Linked DNA regions of Nothobranchius furzeri. The protein of the gene in region 3 purifies or fractionates together with the protein of the main gene of each other region. This does not show direct contact. Links are inferred from orthologs where the notes say so. Each region holds a gene or a part of one and is shown on either strand. Other genes may lie near its edges.

What was found.
Region 1: the proteins of cyld (region 3) and spata2 purify together in Homo sapiens (affinity purification with western blotting; 10 studies listed by BioGRID and IntAct, with this or other methods). This does not show direct contact. The link is inferred for Nothobranchius furzeri from reciprocal best matches to the Homo sapiens genes CYLD and SPATA2.
Region 2: the proteins of cyld (region 3) and map3k7 purify together in Homo sapiens (affinity purification with western blotting; 4 studies listed by BioGRID, with this or other methods). This does not show direct contact. The link is inferred for Nothobranchius furzeri from reciprocal best matches to the Homo sapiens genes CYLD and MAP3K7.
Region 4: the proteins of cyld (region 3) and ripk1l purify together in Homo sapiens (affinity purification with western blotting; 5 studies listed by BioGRID). This does not show direct contact. The link is inferred for Nothobranchius furzeri from reciprocal best matches to the Homo sapiens genes CYLD and RIPK1.

The regions. Positions count from the first base shown.
Region 1 is NC_091755.1:60,287,881-60,293,062, forward strand, and holds spata2 (spermatogenesis-associated protein 2), read right to left. Parts: upstream 3,457-5,182; 5' UTR 3,226-3,456; coding exon 2,875-3,225; intron 2,014-2,874; coding exon 673-2,013; 3' UTR 500-672; downstream 1-499.
Region 2 is NC_091743.1:91,283,079-91,288,487, forward strand, and holds the start of map3k7 (mitogen-activated protein kinase kinase kinase 7), read left to right. Parts: upstream 1-1,424; 5' UTR 1,425-1,637; intron 1,638-2,002; 5' UTR 2,003-2,025; coding exon 2,026-2,118; intron 2,119-2,205; coding exon 2,206-2,316; intron 2,317-5,409. UniProt on the Homo sapiens protein: Serine/threonine kinase which acts as an essential component of the MAP kinase signal transduction pathway. Plays an important role in the cascades of cellular responses evoked by changes in the environment.
Region 3 is NC_091749.1:71,007,980-71,012,664, reverse strand, and holds the end of cyld (ubiquitin carboxyl-terminal hydrolase CYLD), read right to left. Parts: intron 1,458-4,685; coding exon 1,349-1,457; intron 1,267-1,348; coding exon 1,148-1,266; intron 960-1,147; coding exon 743-959; intron 638-742; coding exon 453-637; 3' UTR 225-452; downstream 1-224. UniProt on the Homo sapiens protein: Deubiquitinase that specifically cleaves 'Lys-63'- and linear 'Met-1'-linked polyubiquitin chains and is involved in NF-kappa-B activation and TNF-alpha-induced necroptosis.
Region 4 is NC_091751.1:51,504,009-51,509,189, forward strand, and holds the start of ripk1l (receptor-interacting serine/threonine-protein kinase 1), read left to right. Parts: upstream 1-1,823; 5' UTR 1,824-2,033; coding exon 2,034-2,212; intron 2,213-3,003; coding exon 3,004-3,160; intron 3,161-3,304; coding exon 3,305-3,442; intron 3,443-3,520; coding exon 3,521-3,752; intron 3,753-3,825; coding exon 3,826-3,975; intron 3,976-4,188; coding exon 4,189-4,265; intron 4,266-4,380; coding exon 4,381-4,465; intron 4,466-4,578; coding exon 4,579-5,181. UniProt on the Homo sapiens protein: Serine-threonine kinase which is a key regulator of TNF-mediated apoptosis, necroptosis and inflammatory pathways.

The DNA.
Region 1 (5,182 bases), on a different chromosome or scaffold from region 3:
AGTCCCTTTGAGATCTTCTACCACACACACCATTTATAAATAATCTCAGTGTCTGATCTCGAGTCCACTTAACAGTCTCACACTGTTCAAGAGAATTAAGATTAAAAATATATACTATTGTCTTCCAGTGTATGTTTTCTTTTTCCTACATTTTTTTCAAGTTTTAAGACACTCGACACAATGCAAGCTCAGAGATCTTTTACGCACACACACACACACACACACACACACACTCATACACACATTTATATATACTGTATTTATATATATATATATATTCATATATTAGAAGTATTCTTAGCTGAGAGGTTAGGCAAAGTATATCTTTTTTTTGTACGGAGTTCCTTCAAAATAATAAATTTAACTATTTTCTCCAGGTTCCCTTTTAAGGAGTGTAAAATCCAAGAAGACTGGGAAGCTCTACAACATCACGTGACTATCCAAGAGCAAAATAAACAGATAAAAGGCCTGAAGTTGTACAAGGCAGAGAGATGGACAGACGGCATGGCTCTCAGTGGCTTGTGCGTTCCATGAGAGGAAGAGAAAAAGGACAGCGAACATAAAATGTGCCACATAAGCCTGATGAACGGTAAAGCAATAGTGCAAGACTACAGGTCATTAGAGACTAGATTACAGTAAAGGAGTGAACCGATGGGGATTACTCTGCCTGACTCATCGGTAAACTAAGTGAGACATGGTGCCGGGTTTGAAGTTGAGCTGATGGTTGGGCACAAAGCTGTGCTGAGGATTCTTTCGGGTGCAGATGTCTTTTGCATACAAGCCCATGCATGAATCACATGACACCTTAGAGCAGTTCACACAGGTGTGTGAAGCAGCTGGCTTGTTGCAAAATCCACACCTGGACCCCCCCATGCTTAATCGCTCGCTGCTGCCTCCCTTTGGTGTCGTCAAGGCAGTAGTCTTGCTTGAAAACAACTTGGTGGGCATGAAGGGTTTCTCTATCATCTGAGGATGGGGATGAGAGAGTGAGTGGGTTAGTGTTAGAGGGTGTGGATGAAGATGGGAGTGGGAATGGGTGTTTGAGTAGACAGAAAGCTTTTCCTTGACAGGAAGGTATCCATCAAGGGGTCGTGGGGATTTGGGGTGGTAGTCCTGGAGGCCACAGCAAGGGGATGGGTCCACATCATGACAGGAAGGGCAAAGAATCATGTCACACCTATGGCAGGAAGTCATTGTGGAGCACCCTAGTCCACAACTCTGGCACTTGATATTACCATGACCTTTGAGCAGCCAGCCATCTCGAGGCTCTCTGGAAGGCGGTCGCAATGGAGTCTGCCTTCCTCCTGTCCCTGCACTGCCCTTCTCGGTGTATAAATCAATCTCATCCAGAGAGGCCAGGTGGTAAGACGCGTAGGGGTCAGCTGGGGTGGGTGAAGGAACTGGGAAAAAGTCTGCAACGGGGCTATAAGAAGGTGGAGCAGCGACAGAGAAAAAAGATGCCGGGGTGCTGGGCCTGATGATCTCATCCTTCATATCCTCCTCTGCATCCACAAACAGGGGCTCCTTTCTTAGACTCAACGAGGCCTTCAGAACAGGCTTGTTAACAGCTGGGTGCCAGTGACCAGCCCCATCTGTAACATCCACAGACTTGGATGGTCGGCTACCTCGTCTCAGCTGATGCGCATGAGGTTTCTCTATATCCAGTGGTCGCACAGACAACCGAGCCATGTCTGCCCCAAGGCTGTCACGTCTTCGCAGAGCCTCGGCACAGCCAGCGGCATCATCTCTGCAACCTCTGCGGAGTTCCAGAGCCTCCAGCTCTGAAGCTGAACCACGAGCAAGAGCCACCACCTCCCCCAGAAGACGACACTCGGCCTGGGCCAAAAACAGCTCAAACGCTAACTGGCGGAGATAATTTGTGTCCCCCGTGAGATCCTGCAAAGTAAACTTAGAATCGTGGTCACAGGAATATCCAATGGTGCGCATCAAAGTTCGGAGTTCAGCATCAAAGATGGCGGACTGCAAGTGGTACACATACGGTCCAGTGAAGGTCTAAAAGACAAAAGGACATCATTAGTGAGTCTGTGAAAGAAGAACAGTCTCTGTCTACATGACACCAAATATAGTTAAGGTTCTATTTACATGTTATTGAGGCTGAGTTACACGGAAACATGTTTTAGGAGATTTCCTTATAAAAGAAACTTGTAGAAAACTGTAGCAGTGACCAATTAGAATGCATGAAAAGAGCTCAGCTTTATGTCCTTCTCCATATCTAACAGTTACATAAATGGTACAGAGCATGCATGTTGACTAGAAGACTTGTTTTTTAATGGCTCTTCAAAAACCAACTGGCTTTAGACAAAATACAGAAGCTTCTATGGAGTTATGTTACAGTCTGGCGGCTGTTTTTGTATAAAGAACTCTTTCAAGGTGCAGCTACCCAGTTGAGTGAAGAGTTGTGCTCAACTGGATAGTTGGGACCAAAGACAGTGATGAAGACAGATACATTTGTTCGCTGTTGTATTGATAAGTGTATTAACAAGGTGAAATATTGGTGAGTTGTCTCCATTTTTAAGTTCCTGCTCTTGCTGCCAAGTTCCTGCCTTAGTTACTGCTTTGCATCAATCACAGCCTGAAAAACATGGGCTTTTCATTGGTTTGTTGCGTAACATGAACAGACTTATTCACTGCTGTTCTGTATACAGCAAAGATGTAAAGAGAACAGCTGATATTAATCAGTGCTAGCAGATTTCTGTTGTCTTTTGAAACCCTTGCTACTGAAACTGATACATTTAAATAACAGTCAACAGCATAATTTGAAACTCTTGTCTTGCAAGTTTATTTTGGAATATTTAAAATTAATTTACTGGAGATTTTCTGCCATAAGCAGGTATAATATTCAGTAACACTCACCTTAATACATCTGAACTCTTTCTTCCAAGGAAAGAGCAAGAGGTTGGTACAGATGGTTTCCAGTGTATTGAAAGCTCTCTCCAGGCTCTTCAGGTTGCTTCCTCTCTGGTAGCGGAGTGAGTTCTCCACCACCTCATAGAATCGCACCATGCGAAATCGCTGTCCAGGATCTGGCTGGTAAGCCCCAAGAAGAGCTGTAGCCGTGGAAAGCAGTGCCTCACTGTCTTTGTTTCTACTTTTGTCCCCATCCAGTGTAGTTCCAGCCCCTGTACTGGCTCCCCCCTCCTCCAGGCGCCTTTCCAATGCTGTAACATACCTCCGAAACAGGTCCTCTTTTAACTTGGCATCCATTATTTGCCGCAGATGATCATTCAGCTGCCAAAATTCCCTGTGCAAGCCTCACCCCTTTAGCCACTCCCTGCACTAGGATGCTACATTTGAGCATCATTTTAAGCCACCATAACTCACAGCACACACGGATGCTCACTGAATTCTAATGATCAGTAGAGATGGCAAAGAAGAGAGACCTTGAATCCAGTCAGAAGAACATCCTCTGTTAGTGATATGCAGCTTTGTGGAGGCTTTTAGTGAGTGTGGCTAGGCTGCAGCCTGTATGGATGCCTCAGAATGGACATCTCCAGTAAAACTAAGCTCAACTGGTTTCCAAACAAATACGTTTGTGTGATGCAAAACAAAATTGGGTAGATCACTTTATCAGTCAGTTTGAAGTTGAGTGGAATCCAGTCTTTGGTTTCAGGAATACTGGAGTCTTCTAAGCCAAATCCAAGCTGTAATGATGCATAAAAAAATAATTACGTTAATGGAATGCACAACACTTACGTTTGAGATCATTTACTCCACTAGAAATACATTAATAGGCATGGCCTGAAAAAAACAAAAAGACAGTTAATCTGTTACAGCAAGTCTGCAGAACAAGATTGGTTTTGAATGCAAACACAGTCATGGAACACCCACCCCGCCTCCTCGGGTATCTACCCTGAGACGCTTCTGCCGCAACCGAAAACGTGATGCCAGAGCAAACAAGAGCGTGCTAAACACCAGATGCATTGTCTAGGTCCAAACATTTTTTGTTGTGACTTCAAATGGTGTTTTTCTTTTTAGGAGTTTATCCTAAAGTTGAAGTTGTAGCAACCGGCTGTTTCTCATTCTCTGGTATTACTGAGCAGAGAACCTCTCATACTAGTGGTGTTCTGTTGCAAAATACATGGATGTGTAATGAATGGAAAACACAGGAAAGCGCAGCAGTTCAGCGAGACCAACGACCGGATGGTGCAATGGTTGCTTTCAGTCTGAAACATGTTATTGGCAGAGGTTTGTAGACAAATGCGAGAAAACTACTTTCTTTTTTCTCCACAATGTATTTATAGCTATACTATGCTAGAACATTATTAAGAAGCTCGAAAGAATATTTTAAACTAATTTATTTTCCAAATTTGCTATAGCAGATTTAAACTGAGGTATCGACCTTAGTGTTGAGTGGGAAGTTGATTGCTTTATTCATACACCGAACAGTTGACCTGGTTTAGGTCATCATCATTATGGATACAACCCTGAAAGAAACCAATGCGTAGATTCGAAGAAACAGGTTAACCCATTTGCTCTTTGTTTTCGTTTGGAAAATGGTATTGGAAATGGTAACCTGTCAAAGAAAGTTAGAGTGGTTGGCTTTGATCTCTTTTATCTAATAATATCAAATCAGATATGTGAAAACAGGACAATCTAAATGCGTTATGATGCTTCAAACTAAAACTATTTGGAAGTGTCCGTCATCCCAAAGAATTATTGCTGGTTATTCCAGTTTAATCATACGAGGAACATGTTACGAGCTAGCAAGCAACGTTAGCACTTTCTCACGAAGAATCGCTTGCGAAGCAACCATTAACTATCCCTAATCATTAACAAAAACCACACCAACAGCTACCACACTGACTTTCCACCTCAAACCGATTTAGTCTTCAGCATTAACGCGAATCTACGCCAAGCAGTGAACGCCCATTTAAGCGCAGCTGGCTAGCTAACAGGGCGTTCCATTGCTACCCGGACATACTTCACCCAGTTACAGTCAACTATCAACACATAAACAGCTACAATAGCATTATTAATATACGAGAGACTATAACTAAGTTTCTCGTAGAAGCCACACGACGTCTTAAATACTAGAACCTATTAATCTTACCTTTGACAAGAGTTAGCCACATGCTAAGCTACGCCTCCTCAGCTCTTGAAAATTCGCTTCATCGTCATGCGCATGCGTAGGATACTGACGACTTTACGTCATCTTTAGCCC
Region 2 (5,409 bases), on a different chromosome or scaffold from region 3:
ACATAATTTCAGTCCGCATCATACTCCTCTCTGGAATTGTAGATACATCACCTCAAGAAATAACTCAATATTTTATCCAAACTGGGTGGAAAAGGATATCTGGTCTGTTTTACACTTGTTACACTGTTGTCTCATGAACTACTTAGCTCCAAATTCAAGCTGACTGTTAAGGAACAATATCAGGTTATAAAAGCAATTCCAAGTCCTGTCTTGTCAATCTCCTCCAATTTACATCACAATAACATTAGTCCAAAGCTCCCTGGACTTATGCTTAATGGATGTTCTATTACTGACAAAAAGTTATCCAATATTGTAGTAAGACAGTTATTTAGTCAACTGCATCCATTCTTAGCCAACAGATCATTAGCTTCTCACCTACAATCTTATGAAATAGAAAAAAAAGCAAGGAGTTTTTTTTCAAGCTTCCAGTTGCTCCAAAGATAAAAGAGATGCTGTTTAAAATTATTAATAGCATTTATCCATCTGGAGAGCTTTTGAGACATCGATTTAACTTGGAACATAATGGCTGCTCATTTTGTAATGCAGACAGAAACCACTGAGCATCTGCTTTTTGACTGAATTTGTAAAGACTTTTTGGAGTGAATTAGAGAATTGGTTGGCTTTGAGGCTATGTAATCCACCAAAACTTTCTAAAAAAACGTGTTAATCGGTTGTTTTACAACCAAGGACAATATTTATATTGCTTTAAATGTTATAATTATCCATGGATGTTATATACACAAATGCCGTTATGCTAAAACCTACCCTAATTTCATTGCATTTTATAAAGAATTAGTACATTACTTCTCTTTTTTGAAATCCATGAAAGGCTCCAAAGCCTAAGAAATACAAACTAAATGCTAACCCCTAGCACATTTATTGAATGATGTTTTGCACTTTAATAGTTGTTTTACTGTCATTTTGTCTATTTCATTTAATTTGTATTTTATTTATATTATGTTTGTTTATTATTTATTTACTTTTCCTCAGTTTATTTCTCTTGTCTGCTTGTATTTCCAGTTAAGAAGGGAATATTGTAATGTGCCATGTTTTGTTGATTAATAAACAGATTTTAAAAAATCATCCAAGGATCATGCACGTTTTGACTGTAGGGCCTTTGGTTAGGGAGCCGGTAGCTGAAACGCATTGACCTTCGCAATAGCGCCACCTAGAGTTTTGTGGGTATGAATTTTGGAATCATAGTAGCAGTCAGGTTTTTCTATCAGACTGCCATGTTACATTTTTTCTGGCATTTTCAGGCTCCTGCAGCCATATAGAATTAGCGGAAAAGAATAATGAATAACAATAAATAATGAAAAATCCGTTGAAAAACAACAGGGTTCCCTGCCCGTTGTCGCTTCATGCTGTTGTGATTTTCCTGTGCTGTAATGAGCGCATCCTCCTGGTGGAGCTGCTGTGCTTCCGCGAAGAAAAACAGTCGGAGGAAGCCAGCTAGACGAGCCGAGGGAAAGTTATGGACAGACGTTTTCTAAAGATGGACGTTATTCTTCGGCTTCCCGTGCAGAAATAGTAGGAGCTATCCCCATGTCTACGGAGCCGGCCTCGGTAACATCTACGAGAAAGGGCTGGATTTAAGCCCCGGCAGCTACGTTTAGCAACCAGGCTCGGAAGCTAATGTAAGCAAGCTAATTCACACCGTAGGCCTTGATAACTAAATTGTTTTGTTTAAGTGTCATGTTGTTTGTGCATTTCTCTTATTAACACCGTACTGATGCTCCAGGACTTGTTATCCAGCCTTCTGTGCAACTTAAAGCACGTTGTAGCCTTTGGTTGGTGGTTTTGTTGCAGCTGTGCTAGTTTTAGCTCTGCTGGCTAGCCAGCTGATGGAAGCTAGCGTGCTGTTTACCATGTTTGACAGCTCGCAAAAGGAATGTGGAGCGAAACGCAGTTCCGGTACATCAGTGCGTTCATTTTTTGTTTTTGTTTTTCTGATTGGTATTGACACGTTTCCGTTGTCCACTGTCTTCTTTTCTCTGATTAGTTACTAGCTTGTTTTAGCTAGTAATGTCTCAGACGCTACCACCTTCCGATATGCTGGAAACGCCACCTGGATATCCATTTGAAGAGATCAATTATGAGGATATTGAAGTGGAGGAGGTGAGTTATGTTTGGTCCGTGTGGCCATGGATGAGGGTGTTAACGGAGTTGTCCTAAACGTGATCGCCTGTATCTGTCCCTGTGAAGGTGGTGGGCAGAGGTGCGTTCGGGGTGGTCTGCAAAGCCAAGTGGAAAGGCAAAGATGTTGCAATCAAGACCATCGAGAGTGAGTCGGAGAGGAAAGCCTTTATTGTTGAGGTACTGTTACTCTATTATTATTGTTGTTGTTATTGTTATTATTGTTGTTATTATTGGTGCAGAGTCGACCAGGTCCACTGATGCACCAAGATGTGACTGCTGGTTTGGTGTTAGTGGCAAATGTCTGACACATCATACAGCTCTCAGCCATAAGATAATGACCACCTGTATGGTCTGAGTAAATCCTGCTTTTCTACTAGAGCACTGCAGACGTTAGAGGCCTGAACAGTGACATCACTAGACGTTTGTTTCTGGAGGATGTTGTGAGGCGAGGCCTTCATGGATGGGTTGATTTGGATGTGAAGACTCTAAAAACATCCATAAACATCTCTAACCACTTCTGTTAGGTCACCTGGTTCTTGTTCTTCTGCAGGCTTTTCCTCTTAACTCTTTCACTGCCATTGACGACTAAAGTCGTCATTTGCATTTTTTTTACTGTGTAGGCATCGGAACGAGCCCCTGCGCCGAAAGAACAAACATCTCAGCTCTGAAGCCGATCTTCATTCGCATACGTCACACGTCACATGATCAGGACGGAGAAAATCCATGTGTTAGGAGATTGCTTTGGGCCATTCCTGTAAAAAAAAAAAGTGAGGCGCGAACCGGAAAAGCGTCTGCCCATCACAGTTCGACAACGAGTTATGAAAGAACGGATAACGCTCGAAACGTGCAGATTCTTCCTGATGTAAGAGATGAGTCTCATCTTTGTTTTGGTTGTTTTGGCATCGACATCATCCTAGCGCGCAACGTTCTGTCACTCTTAAAAAACAGTAAAAACGGTGAGAAACGCTGGCAGCGAAGGCCGTTAACGATCAGGAAACGGCTGGCAGTGAATGAGTTAAAGGGAAGTGTCCCCTCTTCTCTTACACCATACTGAAGTGTAATCAGTGTAATCTGCCCATTTCGTTCTTTACTGTGCACTAAAATATCTGAGATTGAGTCATATAAAACTTTCAGATCAAAAAGCTAATTTCAAAGTCTGATAAGGATAACCTGAGTCAATAAAATGTTTTTTTCTGATGGTTTCATTATTAGAGGAACAGAGCTATCCCGACCACCCCGGTCCGGCGTGATAAAACAAACCTCACAAGTAGCAAACACCCCCGGTGTCACATCAGATGATTTGGATCCAAGGATTCAGCCAATACTCAGAAAGGTCAAAATACAAATGTATGTAAAGCAAATTAAATAAATCAGGAATGGTTTTAAGATTAACTTGGTTTGACACAACAGATATAGCTTAGCTTGACGACTAGACCACGACTAGATTAGAATTCATGTTGGACTCCCTTGACTGAGACCTGCTGATTCTGGCCTGGTTCGTAGCGAGTTAGTGGGCTGATCTGGCACTCACCAATAGCTGCAGGGAGCTTTTATCACCGTAATACAGATGGAAATATCAAGATGTCTCAGGTGAGCTTCGATGAGGTGAGTGCAGAGAGATCAGGAACTGAAGTCCTGACACTAAGAGGCTCCACCTGGGTCCGGTGTCTGTGATAACTCCTATTGAGTCTCATGCCAAGCCAACTTTATTTGTGTACAACCTTAAACAATAACAGTAAAAACAATAAAAATGCATAAAAACTAAAACTTGAGGACTAAAAGTAAAAGACTCATGCTAAGTTAAAAGTGGGTTTTCTAGAGATTTCTGTCACCTCTAAACTGGCGTCTCGTTGTCGGGACTTCCAGGAGCTTCCTATCAGCCGACCTCAGACCGTGCAGGGGAGTTAAAAACCAGTAGCTCAGAGAGGTCATCTGGAGCAAGGCCGTAAAGATTTAAAAGCCCATAAAAGCACCTTGTACTGGATTCAAAAACAAGCAGGTAGCCAGTGCAGTGAGGCCAGGACAGGAGTAACGTGCACCGTCATTTTCGTCCCATCGATAAGCCGTGCAGCAGCATCCTGCACCAACTGAAGACGCCAGAGGTGGGATTGTGAAACACCAAACTCTCAGTGTGTTCACATGCGCGTCAGAAAACTGAACTTTTGCCCTAAGTAGACTGACGTTGTTGATTTTTAAACTCATGTAAACTTGTAAGTCTCGTTGAACGTGAACTGGTTCTAGTCGTCCTGAAGCACCCAGATAATGTAGTGGGAGCCCAACTTCATCTGTGTGTAAGCGCCTCCATCGAGCTGATGACGGTAACTTTCAGACTTGACGAGACGCAGAAGAGGTCTTCTGATATCATCGCCACAAAGTCGCACGTGTAACAGCATCACAGATCAGCTGTGCCGCAGCGTTGTTGTCCATTCGGCCATTGTTCATATCCTGTTTTAACTCTGTCTGCTTCACTCCCACCAGCGTTTGTTTGCTATTTGTGTTGCTATAAGTTAACCGGAAGAACGCCTACACAATAGGGCGCATGTCGCCTCCAACTGTACCGGAACGGTACTAACGTCTTTACGGGGGTTGGTTTTCTAACGTACAGGTAAACTAGGAGAAAGGCTCCCAGTTTATTTTAGATCCATTCAGATGTGCGTGTAAACACGCTGAGTGGTACATCAGAGGGGTTTCCAGCAGGAACGGCCTGTTTAAGGTCAAAGGTCAGACGTTCTCTTTCAGGATGCTCTGCCAGAGCATGGTTCCAGCAGGTCCTTTGTGTTCTTCCTCACTTGACTCATGACCTCTGACCTTAACATTAGCCAAGTGACACCTGTAGGTAGGATGGGCCCAACATCTATAAATCGTGATATAATTTAAAGCACGTGCGGTAACACGACGTATTCTTTTCATTAGTTTATTTGTCCAAATAACCTTTCTGAACAATCTCTCACACCAGATGAGCGGCACCAGAACAAGTGCTGATGAAAAGGACAGAATGCCACTTAAAAACCGTTTAACGTGACAAAACGTCTCAAATGACTTTTATGTTCTTAAGGTTCTTTTTTCAAACTTTTCATCACAAATATTCTCATGACGTGAATAAAGATGAAGATATTTTAATGAAAAATGTAAAAACACAAATAAAATTTCTTTCTGATTAATTTAATAATTTTCAGGTTTTCTTTTGCTCATAGAAGTTTAGTGTTAGTCGTTAATAACTGCAGCTAAAACGATGCTTTGCAGCAGTTCTTTTTTGTTTGTAAAAGAGAA
Region 3 (4,685 bases):
ATCTTTACAGTGATTAAGAATAGCAGGACTCCTCTTTTCTTAAGGTAAATGAGGTGAGCGAGGTCCTCCCACCAGCTCCTTCTGTTTTTCCTGCAGAGCGGCCTTCCGCCCGTCTCCTTCCTCCCTGAGCAGGGAGTGACTCCTCGGAAAGCCGACCGTCGCTCAGCTGGGAGACGCAGGGAAGCTACATAGGACTACGCGATGAACACAACACTTATGCACAGTGCAAATAGGCTTCTCGCGCTCTCCTTCGCCTCTCTGACCTCCAGAAGCGGGCCGGCGCTGAGGAGACGTGGGTGGGTTCCTCAGGGCAGCCCCCTGGTGGCAGACACCTCCTTCGGTTCATGCTGTAAAGTTCTGGTCGTTCAGGGAAGCTGCTGGCCAGAGGGAGCGGTGCAGAGGAGGAGAGGTGGTGGCGGTGTGTGTGTGTGTGTGTGTGTGTGTGTGGGGTTCTACTTGTACAGGCTCATGGTCGGGCTCTGATACATGCACATGTAAGCGTCACAGAGCAGGCGGCGTGCCTGGCCCTGGATGCTCTTGGGGTCTAAGGTGTGCAGCTCCTCAGGGGTCATCTTCAGGTAGGCTTCCACCTCTGGACAGGGAGACACCTGAGGGATGTTGAAACCGTTCTGTCCACCTGGAGAAACAAGATGGAAGCTTTTAAAAATCTAAACTCCTGATGTTGGTTTAAAGTTCCTCTCGTGAGACCAAACAGGAGAATCCAGGATCCGGGGACACCCACCGTCGCGGTCAGCCATGCTGTCAAAGAAGAGCCAGGCAGAGTCGGCGGCGCCGTACTTGACGAAGGCCACATAGTGGCTGGTTTCGATGCACAGCACGGCGAACAGCTCCATCCGCTGGCGGGGGAAAGTGCCCTGACGTCCTGTACCCTCCTGCAGCTCCTTGGGGACGGACAGTTTGCTGTGTCGGTGAGTTTTCCTCTTCGGGTGGAGGTGAACCTAAATGAGCACAACCAGACATCGTCCCAAATCCTTCGTGTGGTTTAATAAAAAAACAGACTAAAAAGCATAAACAACATTAAAACACCAGAAAGTTCTAACTGAAGATGAAGAACTCTGCAGCACAACAGACGATGGGATTCCTTTGGATTTGGCGCCACCTGGTGGACGACAGGCTAACTGATTACCTGTGTGTTGCACTTTTCACAGAACTGCTTAATCTTGCCGGCCGTGATGTCCCCGTCCTCATAACAGTCTCTGCACTCGTAGAGAGCCAGGCCGCCGCAGATGCGACACTCTCTTGGAGCTAAAATTTCAAAAGAGAGAAACTTTGTTATAAGACCCCACCCGGCTTCCAATCGCCTCTACGGAAATGGAAAACAACTCACTGTCCTCCAGAAGGTCTGTGATGTCCAACTCCAAGGAGGGAAAGATCTTGTTGAACATTTTGAAGTCCTTTCCAAATCGAGGCATTTGAATGATAAGGCAAGAGGGAGCCTGAGGGAGGAAGAAATGATGATAAACACATTTATTTACCCAGGTGGTATCCAAGGTTGCCCCCAAGTTGTGGCCAGGGGTGGCCATGGCCACCCCTAGAAAACTGCTGCCCCCCACCCAGAAAGGGCAGTGTTAACAAATCATATTAATGTTCAGTCAAACCATATATTGATCTTGTTTATTCAAGACATAATTAGTCGTCGTCGTCTTCCTCTGCTTATCCGGGTCCGGGTCGCGGGGGCAGCATCCCAACTAGGGAGCTCCAGACCGTCCTCTCCCCGGCCACCTCCACCAGCTCCTCCGGCAGGACCCCAAGGCGTTCCCGGACCAGATTGGAGATGTAACCTCTCCAACGTGTCCTGGGTCGACCCGGGGGCCTCCTGCCGGCAGGACATGCCCGAAACACCTCCCCAGGGAGGCGTCCAGGAGGCACCCTGACCAGATGCCCAAACCACCTCAACTGGCTCCTTTCGATCCGGAGGAGCAGCGGTTCTACTCCGAGTCCTTCCCGAATGTCCGAGCTCCTCACCCTATCTCTAAGGCTGAGCCCGGCCACCCTACGGAGGAAACTCATTTCGGCCGCTTGTATCCGCGATCTCGTTCTTTCGGTCATTACCCAAAGCTCATGACCATAGGTGAGGATTGGGACGTAGATCGACCGGTAAATCGAGAGCCTGGCTTTCTGGATCAGCTCCCTCTTCCCCACGACAGATCGGCCCAGCGTCCGCATCGCTGCAGACGCCGAACCAATCCGCCTGTCGATCTCCCGATCCCTCCTACCCTCACTCGTGAACAAGACCCCGAGATACTTAAACTCCTCCACTTGAGGTAGGACCTCTCCCTCGACCCGGAGTTGGCAAGCCACCCTTTTCCGGTCGAGAACAAGACATAATTGTAAAACAAAATAAAAAATTACAATTAATGAGAAAAGAAAGCATGATTCTGCAGCTCACCATTCTAAAAAAGTTTTTATTTCCATAGTTTGTTTTTTTGTGAACACAGCAGCAGGTGAATTAACCTAAAAAAATACATTTTTAAATTAAATTTGGGATAACATTTTAAATAACTGAAATGTTTGTGTTTGTAAAATTTAAGTGTTTTGGATACGTACTCGTATTTTAATAAAAACGAATAAAGGCGCAATGCAGCACATCGCCACACACTAAATTCAACCAGAGTTGCCACAAGGACCAGTTTGGTGTGCCACCCCAAAAATTTCTTGGGCCCCATCTGGCCACCCCTATCAAAATTTTCTGGAGGCGCCCCTGCTGGTACCACGGTGTTACAGGTGAGACCTGCTCTAAAAAGTTCTCCTTTATGTTAAAATACATTAAAACAAAAATATGTTCAAATCCTCATGATGACTTTAGGTAAACGGTTAGCTCGTACGAAAAGACAAAAGCATAGTTTCATGGTTTATGAAGATTATTCCACGGCCACAGCAGATCTGCAAGATATGGCAACATGTTTTATGCTTTATTGTTTATGTCATGGTTCGATTTAAACAGAACAACCCAAGGAGCTCTCTCCTAAACGAGCTATAGCGTTGTCAAATCTGGATGTAATCAAATAAATCTGGCTTCTTCTGGCCATCCGCATTTTGCTCTGATGTTTACAATGAATATTTTAACCACAGCAGCGGGCGTGCGAGTCGCTGCTGTGACGAACGAGAGGCCAGGAACCGGAGGTGAGCTGCAGGGTAACACGTTTAACCTTAAGCACAAAGTTTCTTTGTTTTTGCAGGTCTTGATGTTCAGTTGCAGTTATTTTGCAGTTTTATTTGGTGCTTAATCATGACTGGACCCGGCCTCTGACAGCGGCCTTGAAGAAGACGTGAACCTGCAGGTGAGTTTCATAATCTGAGCCAATAAAAGGATAACTTAAGCTGGGCGGACACTGTGCGACTTTTTCACTCGTAGCACTCAGCTTCAGTTCAAACTGTACGACTTCCTCGCAGGGTAGATCTCACGAGTCATGTGCTCACACTGCACGTCTGGTAGCAACACGTCGGACCTAGAAATATGCTAAAAATAGCAGTTTTTACTCAACACGTCAGACTTTTTTGTCTTGCCTGTTGTCCTTCAGGAGTGCTGCAGGAGGACACACAGGGATTTATGGGGGTTGGATGAGGAAAACCAAATAAAGAAAGTAAATCTGTGTTTTGTGATCAGTTTAATTTGACATGAACACGACAAACACGCTTTCTTGACAATCTTTGTGAGTAAAAAACGTGTAGAAACAAAAACGAACAGCGTGTGTTATTAGGGAAATAGCGGGCGAGCGGTGTTGATGCAGGATTGCGCATGCGCCGTGAGCGGTTCTGGTACTTTTTGGGTCGCAGCTGCTCGCAGCGCCGCTTCAACAGTGCGATACCCTCACGAGGGACGAGCAAAATATTAGAAACTCCAGAAGTCTGTGCGAGCTCACGATTGCTGATCGGTAGCTGGTCACGTGGTGTTAATCGCCTCTCGTAACCCCTGTACACTACACGACGCTCGGCGCTAAACTCGCCCCGATCTTGTGGATTCTCGCACGAGTGGAAAATCGGCTCAAAAAAGTGAAAAAGTCACACAGTGTACGCCCGGCTTACGTGAAAAGGGAAACATGAAACCTCCCTGGATGAAATGCTACACGACCCCTGAGACTGGGGTCACCACGAGGAAAAAATCGGACTCACAACAGATGTAGGGCTGAACGTGACAGTGACCTGGGCCTGATTAGTCCCGACCCGACCGTCGGGAAAAACCCACCTGCAACTTTAGAGAGGAGCGAGTTCGACAGGTGTTTAACAGGTAAAGCCCGTATGTCACTGGGCTCGGGCCTGTTTTTCTGTAAAATCACAGAAAAAGAGAGATGCTCGGGTCGAGCAGGCTGCTTCATGCGCGTTCACGCTCAGGCATCGCCCGTAGCATTTGCTATCCGTAGCTTTAGCAGCAGAGAGAGAGGCAGTGCCACTTTGTCGCTGTTCCTAACGCCTAGTGACAAAGCTAGCTACATTTCTGAGGACCCTTAGCTACTTTCTGTAGAACTTTCTTCTAGATATTTCCTGCTAATTAGCAACAAAACAGCCATTTTCACTCCGAACCGTTCTTTGGACGTTGTTTCAAGGATATAAATGTTACAGATACACAAGACGTCACTGGTGTGTAGCTCACCTAGTTAGACGTCGGACTCTCGTGCGGAAGACCTGGGTTTGATTCTGGATGTGAACATAGTTTATTTAGAGTT
Region 4 (5,181 bases), on a different chromosome or scaffold from region 3:
CCTTTTCTGTGGCCGTCTCCAAGTTTCGGTCCTCCACCACCTCCCTTACCCATGGTGTCCCACAAGGGTCTGTGCTGGGGCCTCTGCTCTTCCTCCTCTATCTGCTTCGTCTTAAGCACATCCTGAGCTCCTTCAAAGGAATCTCCTACCATCTTTATGCAGATGACATCCAACTGTACATCTCCTTTAAGCTCCATGAGCTGCTGCTGTTACACACCTGCTTAGACTCTATCAAAACCTGGATGGCTGGGAGCTTTCTACAGCTGAATGAAGATAAGACTGAGATCCTTATCTGTGCCCCAGACAAGCTGGTTCCCAAAGTCAGAGACTCTCTTGGTCAGCTTGCTTCTCACACCAAACCTTCCGTCAGGAATCTTGGCGTGACCTTTGACCCAGCTCTCACCCTGCATTCTCATGTAAGTTCTTGTTCGCTCTTCCTTCTTCCATCTCAGGAACATTGCTAAGCTGAGTCCCATTCTGTCCCGCTCTGAACTTGAGACTGTTCTCCACACCTTCATCTCCTCACGCTTAGACTACTGCAACTCTCTTTTCACGTGCCTGAGCAAAACCTCCCTGAACCGTCTACAGGTGGTTCAGAATGCCTGTGCTCAGCTTCTGACCAAGTCCTCCAAACACACCCACATCACCTCGCTTCATTGGCTGCCAGTCAACTTCAGGGTTCATTTCAAGATCCTGGTTCTGGTCTATAGGGTCATGGACAAGCACCTTCTTACATTGGTGATCTTCTTAGTCCCTACACCCCCAGCAGGTCCCTGAAGTCCAGTAATCAAAGCCTACTGGTTGTGCAGCGCACCAGGCTAAAGACCAAAGGTGACAGATCATTTGCTGCTGTGGCCCCCAGACTCTGGAACTCTCTCCCCCTGAGCCTGAGATCAGTGGACTCAGTGGACTCCTTTAAAAAACAGCTGAAGACTCACCTGTTCAAGCTGGCTTTTGTACGACCTTTTTCACCACTCTCTCTTTATTCTGCTCTCCCCACCTATTCCACCTTCCTCAGGATCCACTGATTTCCCACTTTCCTATTCACTCTCTCTCTTTCTTAACATTTTTTAAATCGCAATTGTCTATTTTTTGCTCATTTTAAATGTATTTGTTACCATTTTCTAAATTCTTTTTCATGCTTTTACATTTTTTGTTTTTGTGAAGCGCCTTGTGACTTTTATCTTGAGAGGCATTATAGAAATTATATTTTCTTCTTCTTGTTCTTCTTCAAAGATGTGATAGATCATCTTAAGAAATGTTCTTTATAAAAGTGGCGATTTTACAATAAAGTTGACAATAACTTTTGATTTTGTACCTCATTATCAAACTTCTGAAAACAAAATAAATATAAAAAAATGTGTCTGTGGTTCTACTTGAAGACCAGTTGAGTAAAATTCAGTTAGCAAATTTGGCCACTAGGTGGAGGCACCGTTACATGTAAATATGAATTTCAGACGAATTAATTTATACTAAATGAAGACACATATTTAAGTTATATAACATAGTTTTTTTCAACTGCATGTATTAGAGTTTCGTTTTTAATGCCTTTTTTAGTTATTTCAAACGCTTCGCAAACATGAATCTATTAACCAGCCTGGTGTATTAATCTGTTATCAACTTGTAAGGCTGTTTGTAGTCTTAAGCATTAGTTTCGCTCATCGGTTTGTTTCGCTTTATTACTAGTAGGACGTCGAGGAAACACCGGAAATACTGAGAAAGAATATTTAAGTGAGTTTTAGGATAACTTATTGACACTTTTAATTTTATATTTGTAATTGGAATGCATAATGAGGTTACTTTACGTCGTGGTTAATGAGTTTTTAAGCTATCATTAAGCTGCTTTATGATGCGTCTTGGCATGTCTTGCTAACTCAACTCGGGGCTGTGTTTTGAAAGTTACGGGTGGTTAATTCATCGGGTCAGTGCTTTAGTTTGAACGCTGCGTTTACTTACACACACATATATATAGTAGTGTAGCTAAATGTTAACTACATTGTTATGAGTGTAAACGAGCAAAGTCGGAAGTTTTTATGTCATTTGTATCAGAAATGGCAACCGCGCCTGAAACCTCGCTTCAGATGAGCTCGTCGGATCTCATCAAAAAGAAGCCGCTGGACTACGGAGGATTTGGAGAAGTTTATTTGTGCTACCATGTCACCCTCGGCCATGTGGCGCTGAAGACTGTGTACACAGGTCCTCTACGAAGCGAGTAAGTTATTATGTTTGTTACAGAGGGAGAACATTCCCGGGTATTCCCCTCCTTGTAACTTAAATCATGTGTCCAGATTGCTGGTTACAGACAGCTGTGGCTGGACTTTTTAATTTAGCATTAAGGGAGTAGGAAGTAATACCCTGATGTGAAAATAGACAACCGATGGTAAAATAAAGTGCACTGTTTTCCTTTTATTATCACGAATCTTTGTCAGGGTCAGATATTTTATTCCACAAGAGGATGCCTCCCATCTATTTCGTAGATCAGACCTGCACAGGTGCATGTTTTGCAAAGTCTTTTCAGCATCTGAGACACATCAAAGCTTCTAAATGCAACAATCTCAAATTCTAAACTGAATTTAAGTAAATCTTTTGACAGTGATCTTATACTAATCTTCTCTGCTTCTCTCTGCGTGTGCAAGTATGAGAGTCTCAAACTCAAAGTTTGTGAAGCATCTATAATCATTCAAGAAAAGTGTGATTGTGTGACTTTTACTGAACTGTGCAGTTTGTTTACCAACAAAGAAAACAATGTCAGTATTAGAATTCTTAATTTACAACTCAGAAATGTGTGTGACATTATCAACTGTTATCAAACAATTAAATAAAAATAAAACTTTACGTATTTTTGCTATGATGAATAAAAATAAATTTAGATCAAACAGGACATTTACCACAGCATATCAGATGATCATGCTTGTTCTTCTTGTTGTTTCTATTTTATTATATATATATATATATATATATATATATATATATATATATATATATATACACCATACTCATCAGAGACAGTAAAAGGTCGCTGCTGGAGGAAGGGAATATCATGGCAAGCCTCAATCATGAGCGTGTGGTAAAGCTGCTGGGTGTGATCATGGAGGATAGCGACTGCTCTCTCGTTATGGAGCTCCTGCCCAGAGGCAACCTGCTGGTCGTGCTGAAGAAGGTCAGTCACTCTAAAAATGCCCACTTGGCTTAAAAAAGCATTTTTTTTCAACTGTTTAATAGTGAAACCTGTGTTAGGCTTCAATAGATAAGGATGTGCTTTTATAAACTGTAATATTAATACACTAAATGATTGTTTTTGTAGGTCAATGTGCCGATGTCTGTCAAGGGAAGGATCATCTTAGAGATTTTGGATGGGATGGTGTACCTCACAGAGAGGTCCATCGTCCACAAGGACATCAAGCCTGAAAACATCTTAGTGGATAATGATTTTCACATCAAGGTACACGATAATCTAACACCTATTACTTTTTATTTTATTTACACTCATTATAAAAGCTTTATTCTCTGCGTTATTTAGATCGCCGACCTCGGCCTAGCAACCTGCAAGATGTGGAGCAAGCTCACGAAACAGGAGTCTCAAAGAAGGAGTCGTAACGAGCCATCGGCTGGACTGAGAGGTGCTGGGACGCTGAGCTACATGGCGCCAGAGCACCTGAAGAGCATCCATGCCCGCTCTACTGAGAAGTCTGACGTGTACAGCTTTGCCATCGTGGTCTGGGTCATTCTCACTGGGCAAGAACCATATGAAAGTGAGCTTGAAAACATAAACCTTGTTTAATTTTATTTTTGTGCAAACATTAAAACAATCTGTCTCATTTCCAGACGCCAGGAGTGAAGAACACATGAGCCAGTGTGTCATCAACGGTGACCGACCAGCAGATCATCTCATTCCTGAAGACACGCCTGAAGAGATCATTCAGCTCATGAAGAGGTGCTGGGATCACAATCGTGAACAAAGACCAACATTTGAAGGTTTGGCATTCAGAATTGCATTTCTTAGGAAAAAGAGATGGTATCATTTTTCTTAGATTTTTTCCCCCCATGCCTAACAGGAACACATCATGTTGAGTCTCACTCAGACTGAAACTCAGATTATTATTATTATTATTATCATTATTATTATATTATTAATGTTAGATGGATCTTTTCATCCTCCCCTCTCATCTGTTTGCTCCTTTCTTGCAGAGGCTTATCGCTCTTTCCTTCCTTTGTACATGGAAAAGCTTGAACCATATGTAGAGAAAGATGTTTGCACATTAAGGGTGAGTATAGTACGGTATAATTGTGGTGGTTTTGGGAGGAACTCACTAACCCACCAAGTGATTTTAAAAGCTAAATACTGATTTTAAGTAAGGATTCAATGTTATTTTGTTACAGGAAACATACAATGGCCCAGAAGAACTGGTTGAAAGCATGAAATCATTATCAGTGACCAACGAATGTAGTCTGGCATGTGAACACGGTAGGTCCGACTCTTTACTTTGATGCTCTGTTTTACGTTTAATGTTTGAAATTTTGCAGGATGCCTAAACCCTTGAGCACCATTTCTGATTTAAGATTTTCTGATGTTTTTAGACCACCCAGCTCCTTTGATGAGCTCAGATAAAAGTATATCCATGATACCAGTTGAGGCCAGTATCGAGGACCTGCATAACATCCAGTACGACCCATACAGAGAGTTTATTCAAGCGGACGCAAGAGAAATGACCAACCGACCAGAGCTGGAGGAGAAACTGGACCGGGAGCTTCAGTACCACCAATATGGCAGCTACAACATGCACCCTGAAGCTTCCAACTACTTTCTCAAAAATCCCTCAAACCCTTTCTTGCCTAACTATGGCAGTGTCACAGATAACATTGCAAGAGGGCCAGCACAGGAAGTGTCCTCTGTTCATTCATGGACTAAAGGAGAAATGGTGCAGCCCACCAGCCCGGAGGAGGGTTTTGATCGCCTCAATTCTGGACTCAACCATTCCATTAACTCCTCCTCGGCTTATGAACCCCATCTGCACATGTCTGCTAGCACACCCTCTCTGCCACAGTTTAACCAGCATCATCCACCCCCCCAGTTTGACCGCCAGAAGTCCTGCTTAACTTATCCGGTGTCTGACACCTGTGTCCCTGATGTAACCACGGGGTGTTATCTGAACAATACAAAGTATGGCTCACAACAGGACT